Linked DNA regions of Arabidopsis thaliana. The protein of the gene in region 2 interacts with the protein of the main gene of each other region in a pairwise test. Each region holds a gene or a part of one and is shown on either strand. Other genes may lie near its edges.

Evidence for each region.
Region 1: the proteins of GRX4 (region 2) and SEOa interact in a two-hybrid assay, tested with the Arabidopsis thaliana proteins (one large-scale study listed by BioGRID).
Region 3: the proteins of GRX4 (region 2) and ANK6 interact in a two-hybrid assay, tested with the Arabidopsis thaliana proteins (one large-scale study listed by BioGRID).

What each region holds. Positions count from the first base shown.
Region 1 is NC_003074.8:245,518-249,272, reverse strand, and holds the start of SEOa (sieve element occlusion protein), read right to left. Parts: upstream 2,082-3,755; 5' UTR 2,058-2,081; coding exon 1,437-2,057; intron 1,356-1,436; coding exon 1,275-1,355; intron 1,205-1,274; coding exon 735-1,204; intron 657-734; coding exon 547-656; intron 447-546; coding exon 304-446; intron 230-303; coding exon 1-229. Other genes in the region: AT3G01660 (S-adenosyl-L-methionine-dependent methyltransferases superfamily protein), read right to left, coding at 2,841-3,146, 3,226-3,741. UniProt on the Arabidopsis thaliana protein: Scaffold protein required to form the phloem filament matrix in sieve elements.
Region 2 is NC_003074.8:5,307,956-5,311,710, reverse strand, and holds the start of GRX4 (glutaredoxin 4), read left to right. Parts: upstream 1-2,086; 5' UTR 2,087-2,327; coding exon 2,328-2,399; intron 2,400-2,676; coding exon 2,677-2,817; intron 2,818-2,903; coding exon 2,904-3,003; intron 3,004-3,115; coding exon 3,116-3,182; intron 3,183-3,356; coding exon 3,357-3,435; intron 3,436-3,526; coding exon 3,527-3,577; 3' UTR 3,578-3,755. Other genes in the region: AT3G15670 (Late embryogenesis abundant protein (LEA) family protein), read left to right, coding at 810-863, 947-1,570.
Region 3 is NC_003076.8:24,625,282-24,629,036, reverse strand, and holds ANK6 (Ankyrin repeat family protein), read right to left. Parts: upstream 1,851-3,755; 5' UTR 1,707-1,850; intron 1,260-1,706; 5' UTR 784-1,259; coding exon 259-783; 3' UTR 69-258; downstream 1-68. Other genes in the region: AT5G61220 (LYR family of Fe/S cluster biogenesis protein), read left to right, coding at 2,717-2,980; SNAP33 (soluble N-ethylmaleimide-sensitive factor adaptor protein 33), read right to left, coding at 3,671-3,755. UniProt on the Arabidopsis thaliana protein: Promotes anthocyanin accumulation through interaction with PHYA, especially in response to far-red light, high light and sucrose treatment, probably by triggering A3G2XYLT/UF3GT expression.

The DNA.
Region 1 (3,755 bases), 5.1 Mb from region 2:
ATTTCCGAGGCTCTCCAAGAACGTACCACCTCATGTTCATGTGAAGGGCCTCGAACTTGGCATCGTCAGCTTCTGTCCAGAAATCTTGAACTGGAACCCAAAGAATCTCGAATGACTGCTGCCATGCTTCTGTGTAGAGCGATTCCAGGATGTAGAGCTCTTTTTCGATGTTTTCTAGGTCTGATATCAGAAGCAGAACGTGCTTTTGGGTGAGCACGTTGATCCCGACCTGGTTAATGTTTGAAAACAGATCAGTCACTGACAAGAGACATATACAGATGCAGAGATATAAGGAGGTTTTACGCGTCTCTTTGAAACACCAGCTCCGTGGTAAAGAAAATCAATGGGTCTGAGAAGACGAAGTAGAGGAGGAACAACGTCGACGTGAATGATAGTAGTGAACGTCTGGATGAGTTCTTGATACTCTTCTTCGATTATACCTTCCTCTGTAACAGAGTAAAAAAAACAGAGCTTGAGAACAGAGGAATAAAAATACTCTTAAATATATAGAAACAGAGAGAGAGCTTAAAACGACGTCGTAGTTACCGATGGTCATTTTACTCTTCTTGAATTGTTCTAACAAGTAAGCATTGATCTTCCTAAGCCTTTCGCTATTCTCATGTATCTCCGAAACTTCCATAAACGACATGATTTGACTGAAAACATAGATGAGAAGCACATACTCAACTTACTCCTACTTGAAACCCTAGAAATCAGAAAGAAAAACAACTTACTCCTGCTTGAAACCACTGGCGCCACTGATGTGAGAAACACATATCAAAACACAGCGAACAATCCAGTAAACCGCAGTGGGGATATGGTCGGTAAACGCGGCTGTGATGTGGTTTGGCGGGAGTTGATAGATATCGATGATGGTAGTGGTGAGATCAACCATGTCTTGCATCAGAATTCGGGTCTTGTCGAGACGCTGGTGTAGAGCGTTCTGCCGGGAGAAGATGCTAGGGAGCTGTTTGATGAGAGCCAGAGATTTTGTGAGCTGATTTGTTGCGTGTGTCTCCGCGAGGAGGAGAAAAACGCCGTATTTCACGGCCAAAGCAGATAGGACAAGGACTAGCTTAGCATCCCAACGGTATTTGGAGACCAAAGACAGAACAGAGAACGTCGTCGTGTTGCGACTATCCAAATGAAGCCCTGATGTCATCATACCGTGAGACTCACCGCCATGGAGACACTTGCAGTCGATCTGTGTCAGAGACATTGATACTTAGATACTGACTCAAACGTTACTTAAAACAAGAAAGCTTCATATATACCTCGCAAGAGATTTGATCAATGAGATCCGCAAAAGTTTCAAAGGAGGTATGATCAGCGTAGTCCTTGAAGACGAGTGATGGCTGCAAAAAGTTTTAAATTTAATACGCTTGTAAAAATCAGTATTTGAAATGGGGATTAATTGTTGCACAAGTAAACTAAACCTTAGGAGCAGAGGAGTCAATGGATGGGACATGAGACTTGAAGATGTCATTAACAACGGAGAGAAGTGATGTGACATCAAAGAAGATCATGTCTGGACTGTGAGTCTTCAAGACTCTATCAGCCATGACTCGGTCATCAGAAAGTGAAAACATGGGTCTGCCATTTCTATGGAAAGCTTGTTTCTTTCCCGGACCAAATCTTCCACCGAGCGAATTGGGACCCAATGATTTCGGAACCATCGAATGTCGGATATTAGCATCAAGGATTTCCTCAGATGGATGAGGGTAATGTGCAGTCTTAGGGACAATGGAACCGAGATTCTCGCTATTATGATCCATCACCTTATTATGGTCCGCAGGAGCAGCAACATGGTGATCATCAGTATGACCCCCAAAGGGGTTGTCTTCGTGAGATCTCGGTGCTAAAGGACGCCTCTCGCCTGCGTTATCAGCCAGCCTCTGCTCGGCGGATCTTGGAATAAGGGAGACCCTTTTGAGAGGGTCGGCCGTTGGGAGGGTTTGTGAGTTCAATTGAAAGCGTTGGGCCATATTGGCGAGGTTGAGAGAAATATATGGTGAAGGATCTGATGTGTTGTGATGAATGATTGGGTTAGTATCCATGTGTGTGTATATATACTGGTGCAAAAGGTTAAATAAAGTGGCAACTTTGAATCAACTTCTTTGCTTCACCTTTGGTTCAATATCTGTTTTGGTGTCTTTTACACTTCCATACAGTTTTTCCCTTATCGATATTTCATAATTTTCATAATAATAAGAATTTCAGGTCTTGGATAATATTATTTCTAAATATGAAACGTCTCTAACGCAACTGCAACAGTCTAATACTAGTAGTGAGAAACATTTAATATTTCAAAGTTTATATACTGATGGTACAACGAGTTATCCTGATAAACATAACTAAATTTAGTATGTACATAGTAAAATAAGGGACTTCATAGCTATTTAAGAAGACACATGCATGGAACATAGATAGTGTACATATACAATGGATTTTTGTTTTAATATAAAAGACTTCCTTCTAATATATATACTGTTATTATAGAATCTAAACCATAAAGTAAGCAACTCGTGATACTCGTTTGAAGAGGGACAAGGCTACCTTGCTTGGATATTGTCCATGAATCTTCGAACAAAACGAATCACATACAATGCATGCTAATTGAAAACTATATATTAATTATATTTTCCAAAGTGTGTAATCTTTCTGTCAATTATTTCTTGTGTAATACAGGTTCTTCCAATTTGATTGAAATCTGTAATTTCATTCTCCACTTTTTAAAAATTTGTATTGTAAGTTTCTCCAGCTGGACTTGGTTGAGAGGTTTTTTCCTTTTCTTCAAAAACTTCCCATCCAATTCTTATACACTTTTTTTTATGTGCGTGTTACTCATAAATAGGTTTGAAATTTTTATAAGCAATGACAGCATTAAAAGGATCGGGCGTAGAAGCTAAACCGATAAAACCCATAAGCCGAGTCAAAACCGATATCTGAGCTCCAGGCTGTTGCCGGATGATCTCCGGCTGAGTAAACCCTTCAATAGACTGAAAGTACTGAACCACCAATTGGATCCGACTGTATTCGGTTCCATCACGCCAAACCCTAATTGCTTTCTCATAAAACATCCGGTTGCTAAAACTCACTATCAACACTCCTCCCGGTTTCAACACTCTATACACTTCTGCAAACACCTGCGGTTTATATAATAAAGACCCGGTTTAGGAATCTTCTTGACATAACCGAAATCGGTTTTGGTTTACGGTAACGTACCTTTTCGGGTTGTTGTAGATACTGTACACCAACAGAACACAAAACAGCGTCGAAATACTTGTCTTCGAACTCGAACTTCTGATCTTCATTAAGATCCTTGACGAAGAAGTAATCGAGTCTAGGGTTACGAGCAAGCTCCTGTGCGTTAAGACCATGCCCTACTACTTTCTCGTACTTCACTTCTTCTGGAAGATGGCTGACCCATGAGCTCATCAAGTCAAGTACAGTCGAACCGGGTCTCAACCGGTTTCTGTATAGTTCGGTTAAGGAGGATATGAAACTATCATCTACGTGGTTCACGAACCGTGGATATGAATAGAATTCACGGTCAGGATCGGCGTTTAGTTTGGTCCGACCTTCGTTGTTAAGTACTAACCTTTGGATCCTACCGGCCGAGGATGATGGTCGAGGATCGGTTTCATCGATTCGGTTTGATATGTTGGTGATTCTTGGTCGGAGAATTCTAGGTTTCAATTGAAATGGAGATTGTTGGAGGTTGAATCGAAGAGAATCCATAAGAAAAAAACTTT
Region 2 (3,755 bases):
TTTGATAAATACACTTTTTAGTACTCATCCCCTTTTTTTGTCTGACATCGTATATGTATATTGGTTACATCTAAATTTGTCACACTTGTGTAGCAGTGATAGTTGTCTCAGTGTGTCTATAGACTATAGTTAAATGTTAATTAGTAGTATTTATACAATACTAATTACATCATCTAAATATTTGCATATGATTCACACAAGGCAAATTTCCTTGGCTAATTGTCACACTATTTATGTGAAGGTGAGTAGTTAAAGCTAATAACCTCGAAGTTGCTTGGTTTATATGAGATCAAGTTTGGCTCTTGTAAGTGAAGATAATAATTTAAAGAGTATTTTAATCGTGATAATCTAAATGTTAGTTGATAGTTAATACGTCACGGAACATGTACCGACCGACGGCCGATTTCCATGATACAATAAAAAAATGAAAATTAGCAATCTCATAACATGCGACGACGATACTTATGGTGTTGCCACGTAGCAAGCATCTTCCTCTTAACCATGAGGTGTCGCAACCTCAGAGGACAACACGGACAAGACCGAGAAACCGCATACTAACGCTTGCAACGTAAAGCACAACACCCCTAAACTCCTATTTTTTTAATTTTCTTTTAACCTCAACACACCACGCAGCTATACACGTTTCAATGTGCTAATACGTGTCTTCTTCTCCGCCGACCAAGACACACTACAAATGTCCCGATGGTTTGGGGAGACAAATCACAGTTTCTACTACAACAACAAATACTTTTACGAAAAAAGCTTTTAAAACTTATCTAGTTTCGTTTGATACACATTTGAAGAAAGAAATGGCATCCAACCAACAGAGCTACAAAGCTGGTGAGACCAGAGGCAAGGCCCAGGTAATAAGAATATATTTTTGTGTATGTGTATACGTAAAACCACATTATATAAGCTCTAAGATGATTTGTCTGTGTAATACCAGGAGAAGACTGGACAAGCTATGGGAACGATGAGGGACAAGGCTGAGGAGGGCCGGGACAAGACTTCTCAAACGGCCCAAACAGCCCAACAGAAGGCCCATGAGACAGCCCAGTCAGCTAAAGATAAGACATCTCAAACTGCCCAAGCGGCTCAGCAGAAGGCCCATGAAACGGCCCAGTCAGCAAAAGAGAAGACATCTCAAACTGCCCAAACGGCACAGCAAAAGGCCCATGAGACGACGCAAGCAGCAAAAGAAAAGACATCTCAAGCTGGCGACAAAGCTCGCGAGGCCAAGGACAAGGCCGGGAGCTACTTATCGGAGACAGGCGAAGCCATAAAGAACAAGGCTCAAGACGCTGCTCAGTATACAAAGGAGACGGCTCAAGGTGCGGCACAGTACACAAAGGAGACGGCTGAAGCCGGTAGAGACAAGACGGGTGGATTCTTGAGCCAGACTGGTGAGCATGTTAAGCAAATGGCAATGGGTGCAGCTGATGCAGTGAAGCATACTTTTGGGATGGCTACTGAGGAAGAAGACAAAGAGCATTATCCAGGAAGTACTACTACCACTACTGCAACTACTCGAACCACTGATCCGACTCATCAGACTTATCAGAGGAAGTGATGAGAAAACAAAATTGAGAACGATATGAAAGTATCTTTGTGTTAGTTGGTCTTTTGAGTTTTGTGTTTGTGTTTTTGTAATTTCCGTTGTGTCTTTCTTTATGGTTGTGGTTCAGCTGTGTTTCTTGTTGTGACGGTGATCCTGGAGACTTCTAATTTCCAGCCAATAAGTTTAGATTTGATCCTGTTACAACTTATGTGTTCTCAAATTTCTATTTTTGTTACAATAAACAGTTATTAATACACATCATGGTCCACTTCGTATGTTGGTCATCAAGCATTAGCATTATACAGATATAGCTGCTAATCCAAACGGGTTTTACTAATCTTTCAATTTCTTTTATCAAAAATTTCAATAAAACATTTGTGTCTGCTTTTACGTTTTACGAATCGTTCAATTTCATAGATCTACTAAAATGAGAGAAGTAAACCAAAAAAATTGAATAGTAATTTATCTAAACCGAGCAAACCAAATAAATTTATCAAGACGTCAACGGACGTATACTTTGGTGACCATCCGAAACGACATCGTATAACATCTTAGGGTTATGAGTAATGACACGACGTCGTTCTCTGGGTCGGTCACTGGAGATGAAGAGAAGCGGTCGCGACATTGTAAAGATCTCTAGCTCCGTCCTTCTTCCTCGTAGCTACCCTCTCTAATCTTTTTTTCTCATTCCTGTTCTTGATAGTTTTCTAGACAGATTTCGATTAAACAAAACCGCGGAACACTTTGAAGAAATCTGCGTGATTTAGAGATGGCGGCTTCTTTATCGAGCAGACTTATAAAAGGAATCGCTAATCTCAAAGCTGTTCGTTCTAGCAGATTGGTTAGATTCTCTCATAACCCTTTTACTCAATTTTGATGTATCTAATGTTTGCTCAATAAAGTTTTCTCTTTTCCCATCTTGAATCACTTAAAAATTGCTCCTTTATATAACATTTGAGGTTCTGATTCTTTTGTTAGTTGAACCGGATTAGATAGTTACGTGAGCGTATGGTTTTGAATTATGTGAAAATGAATTTGTTTCCAATAGAAGATGGTATTGATGATCATTTGATAGTTGAATTTAACATGGAGAAGAATGATGTGGTTTTTGTTTGCAGACGTCTGCATCAGTCTACCAAAATGGGATGATGAGATTTTCCTCAACAGTGCCAAGTGATTCAGATACACATGATGATTTCAAGCCTACACAAAAAGTCCCTCCCGATTCTACGGACTCACTTAAAGATATCGTTGAGAATGTACACTCCAGCTTCTCTAGATTTGAAGTTGAATGTTTCTTTGTTAGGTGTTTGCTAATGCTGTTTTAGCTTTGGTGGTTGTGTAGGATGTGAAGGATAATCCTGTTATGATCTACATGAAAGGTGTCCCTGAATCTCCTCAGTGTGGGTTTAGCTCACTAGCCGTCAGAGTTTTGCAGCAATATAGTAAGTTTTGTTGAAATGTTGATTGAAACTGAAGAAGCCTTCTGTGAATTTTCTTTACTATTGGCGTTAGGCTCTGTGTTCTGATCTACTATCTTGTGATATCCTTCTTTAGATGTTCCTATCAGTTCTAGAAACATTCTAGAAGACCAAGAGTTGAAAAACGCTGTGAAATCCTTCAGGTGAGTATGTGGACACTTAATGAAAGTTTCATACAGAGAGTTGTATAATCTCATTCTCAAAGTTTTTTCATAAAGTTTGGCTTTGTTATTGAAGTTCGTTACCGTTCATTCCTTAATCTTTGACCTATATGATCTAGACCTCCCTTTGATTTTCAAGTCTTTATTTCTTTGCAGCCACTGGCCTACGTTTCCACAGATCTTCATTAAGGGAGAGTTCATTGGCGGCTCAGACATCATCCTTAACATGCACAAGGTTAGTTCCACTTAAAGCAGACCCTGTTTGACTTTTTTTTCCCCCGTTTCCATTGTGTTTGTTTAATCACAAGTCTCTTTTACTATTCTAGGAAGGTGAATTGGAGCAGAAGCTTAAAGACGTCTCCGGAAACCAAGATTGATCCAAAGTTTGGAAGTTATGCTGACGAGTGGAAGTTATTATGTTTTTGTTCTTTCTTTTCATAAGAATGTCTTTTCATGTACGGTAAAATAATGTCTCAGAAACTCAAAAATCTTTGGATTTCGTATGAATAAAAACTTTGGTAAACTAAGATAGCAAAATCAAAGAAGCCCAACGAG
Region 3 (3,755 bases), on a different chromosome or scaffold from region 2:
TTTAGACTTAATGATTCATAAGAGACCAAAACCGATTATCTCATATTTTTGGTTGATCCAGAACCGGTTAAACAAATCAAATTCGGCTAGGATATCAAACTGGAGTTGCAAAATAACACACTGAAGATTACATGAATGTATCCGCAGTTTCAATGTTTCACATAGCCCATAAGATCAAACACCAACCATAATAGTTCTGATAAGTAGTCTCAACTAGAAAACAAAACAAAACACACCGAGAAACAACCAAGAAGAAGTTCAGTTGTCAGAACTGGAAGATGTGTCTCCACCAGATGAAGAAGAAGACTCGCTGTTAAGCTTCTTCATTTCCTCGTACGCCCATTCAAGGCCGTGACAGTAATGCACCGGCGGATTAAACCTGGTATCAGTTATATCATCTGCCAAGAATGCGCCGTTCTCCACCAGAAACTTCACTGCTTCTCTCTTCCGCTCTTTGGCTGCAGCGTGGAGAGGAGTCCACCCGCATGAGCCCCATGTTTTAGCATCAATGTTGGCCCCACGTTCTAGGAGTAAATCCATGACTTCAATGTGACCTCCCTCTGCTGCAAGGTGAAGTGCACTCACTCCTTTTGATTTGGGTCCCCATGCTAGAGCATTCACATCCATTCCTTGGTCGAGAAGCTGCTTGACAGATTTCAGATCGCCTTTTCTGGCTTTGATATGGAGCGGATTCCAGCCTCTGTCATCGACATTTGATCTGGGAGATCGGCGTCTGAATGAGTTACGCCGGAGGGAGAATGCAGCCGACGGTTCTTGGAGCATTTTGGGTCTGAGCTTCAGCTAAACAAGAACTAGCTTCGAAACTAGGATCCGGATCTGTGTAGGACTACGAGACTCGGGTAGATACTAACCAAACAGGGGTTTCTTATTCTATGCTTTTAGTGTAAATCTCTCAGCCAAGAATGTCTAAAGAAGATACTACTTGATTTGCAACACTATCCAGACTAGACAGCAAAGGAAGCAGACTAATGTAATTAAGTTGAAAGAGAGCAACTCAATTAACGGGAGGCAAAGGAGTGATTGGCGATGCAGTAAGGGAAAGAAGGATTCAAACCAGGGCCGAAGACACTAAGCTTTTGAAGGATCACAGATAAAGCCATAGACAGGGAAGAGAAAATGAGCATCAGTTTGTAAGAAATATAACCCTAATGATTGTGAAGAATCCTAACGGAGCACGACCACATCGAGACTGAGAAACCCCCAAATTTCAGCCTTAGAGAACACTGACCTTACCAAACCTATCAACAAAAGATGGAGAAGAAAACCAAATTAGTGAAAACCAGATGAACACAACAAAAATGCTATAAATTTCTCTGTAATATAAATAACACAACAATCCAGCTCGTGTAGAGTTTCAAAAGTTCATTCAGAATCCAATTACGACACTTGTAGTCTCTAATATTGGCAAATCTACAAACAATACAATAGAATCAGAAAAAATACCCTCACAGAGACAAAATCAATCGAATCAAGGGGGAACTAACGAGTACAAATTTTAATCATCGATCACCAATCAAGTCAGCTACAAATTACACATGAATCAGAACAAATCACAGAAAAACATTGACGAAATAAGAATCCAACGATGAATCCGAAACGAAAAAGAGAAAAATCAATCTCGACACGCAAGGATTTTCACACATACTTATGAACACAAGGAATCGAAAAGTTTGAGAGGCTCGTACCGTAACCCAGCGAGGAGATAGAGATAGAGAAATGGTGAAACCAAGCTCAGAGATAAAAATTTACTTCTCGCCAGAGAGATCGGAGTTTTTTCGCAGTAGGGTTTTCTCGTCGAGATAAGAGAGAATCGAATTCGTGTAGAGAAGGAAGAAGGCGTGACAGAGAATGATAAATATCGGTTTTGTTTACTATTTCTTGTCGAATATGCCAGCTCATACACCTTCATTAAAAAAGGCTGGCTTATCACATATTGGCCCAATTTAACAGGCCTTTGTGTCTAGCCCATTCTAAAACCGGTTCTTTTCTTACTCAATCTAAAATTGATCCGGTTCCCAAATCAGTTTTCCCGGTTTAGTTTTGGGTAAACCTAAAAGTTTATTTATTCCCCCGAACGACCCAGCTTGCTGCTATCAAAACCTTCGAACGGAGAACTTCAACGGCGAGCTCGGGAAATTAATACTCTCCGACGATTTGATTCGGTATGTATATGTATCTGGAGCTCGTTATCGTCAAATTCTATGCTTATCGGATCCTCTCATGATTCAGATGTATTGTCTCTTTTGGCTGTGACTGCAATTTCATCCATTTTACTGAAGTTTAGGATTACTAAGTGCGTTTATGGCCTTTTAAGGTTTCTTCTTGATTGTTTTAAGCGTTTGCGATTAGTTAATATTGGTTCTTTTGCGTATTTTCATGAACTCTAGTGCCTAGTTTCTAATGTTGCAGCAACTGGTTCTCATACCTTATATACACTACTCAAATCAATACTTATCTATATACTAATGTTACTGAATCTAGGTTCTTTTGCTCTATAAATGATGTACTGGTCCTTAATACTTTTCACTTATCTATATAACTTCTTGTTACATGTCGAAGTGTATAGCTTTATCCCTTGATCATCTTGACTACTTCTCTTCCTTTTCGGCATTGCTAATCTCAGCTTCTTTGTGTTCTTATACTGATTGCAGTTAACCAGGCTTTGTATAATTAAGGGTTAGTTTCCAATCTTGCAATGGTGTCTAGTAGTGAAGTTCTTAGCCTATGTCGTGCCTTGCTTCGAGCGGGACGTCAATTCCCTGATTACAACATTAGGGAGTACAGTAAGCGAAGGACCTTGGATGGCTTCCGCATGAACAAGAATCTCACTGACCCATCGAAGGTGACTGAGGCTTATGCTGAAGCTAAAAAACAGCTTTTTGTTGCTGAGAGAGTGCTCAAGGTTTACTTGGCATATCCTCCCAAGACCAAGAACATCATGGAAGTCAAGCTTCAGTAGATGTATGTTTGTCATTACAATATCCTCCAAAGCTATTTGTTTTTAATGGTCATGTTGGAGCCACTTTATATTCATTGATTGTCGAGTTTGTGGCTTGAGAATATGATTCGGGAACAAGTGGTGTTTGTATGAGATTATTATTTCCTCTATTCATAGTTCTTTCCAACTATGTCAGATTGCTTTGTCTAGTTCTCATTAGTAGTCTTTGTGTTTTATGGCTTCAGACATTATACAAGTGAAGAAGAGGACATTGTGGAATATATCCCTTGGATTGTAGCTGAGGAAGACTAAAGGGAATGAAGAGTTCCTGGTTTTTTTGTTCTTTTGAATAATCTCACATGATTGTGCAGTTGTTGCATAACATATGTTCCAACTTGTCTGGAGTTTCTGTATTCTTATGTCGTATTCTAGCACTGATATTTTTAGGTTATAAATCTGAGATTAAAACTCATAATTTCATCTATTATCAGAATTTCTTGAGAAAGCTTTATGATACAGATAAAAACGATACCAAAGTTGCTTCTGTTTGATCAATAAGTTTTTTGGTTTTTTGTCACAAGATCAAATACAAACACAGATAGCAATAATGTATTTAACATGATAAGAATCTTTCCAGTTTTAAAGAACAACTTCATAGAGAATAAAACAAACGAGGAATGAGTGTAATGAACATATAAACCCTCTGTTCATCTACTTTCCAAGCAAACGGCGACCACGTTGGTTTGATTGTTGCACTCTGAAGTTGAGTTCGTCAACATCATCATGAAGATGGTCA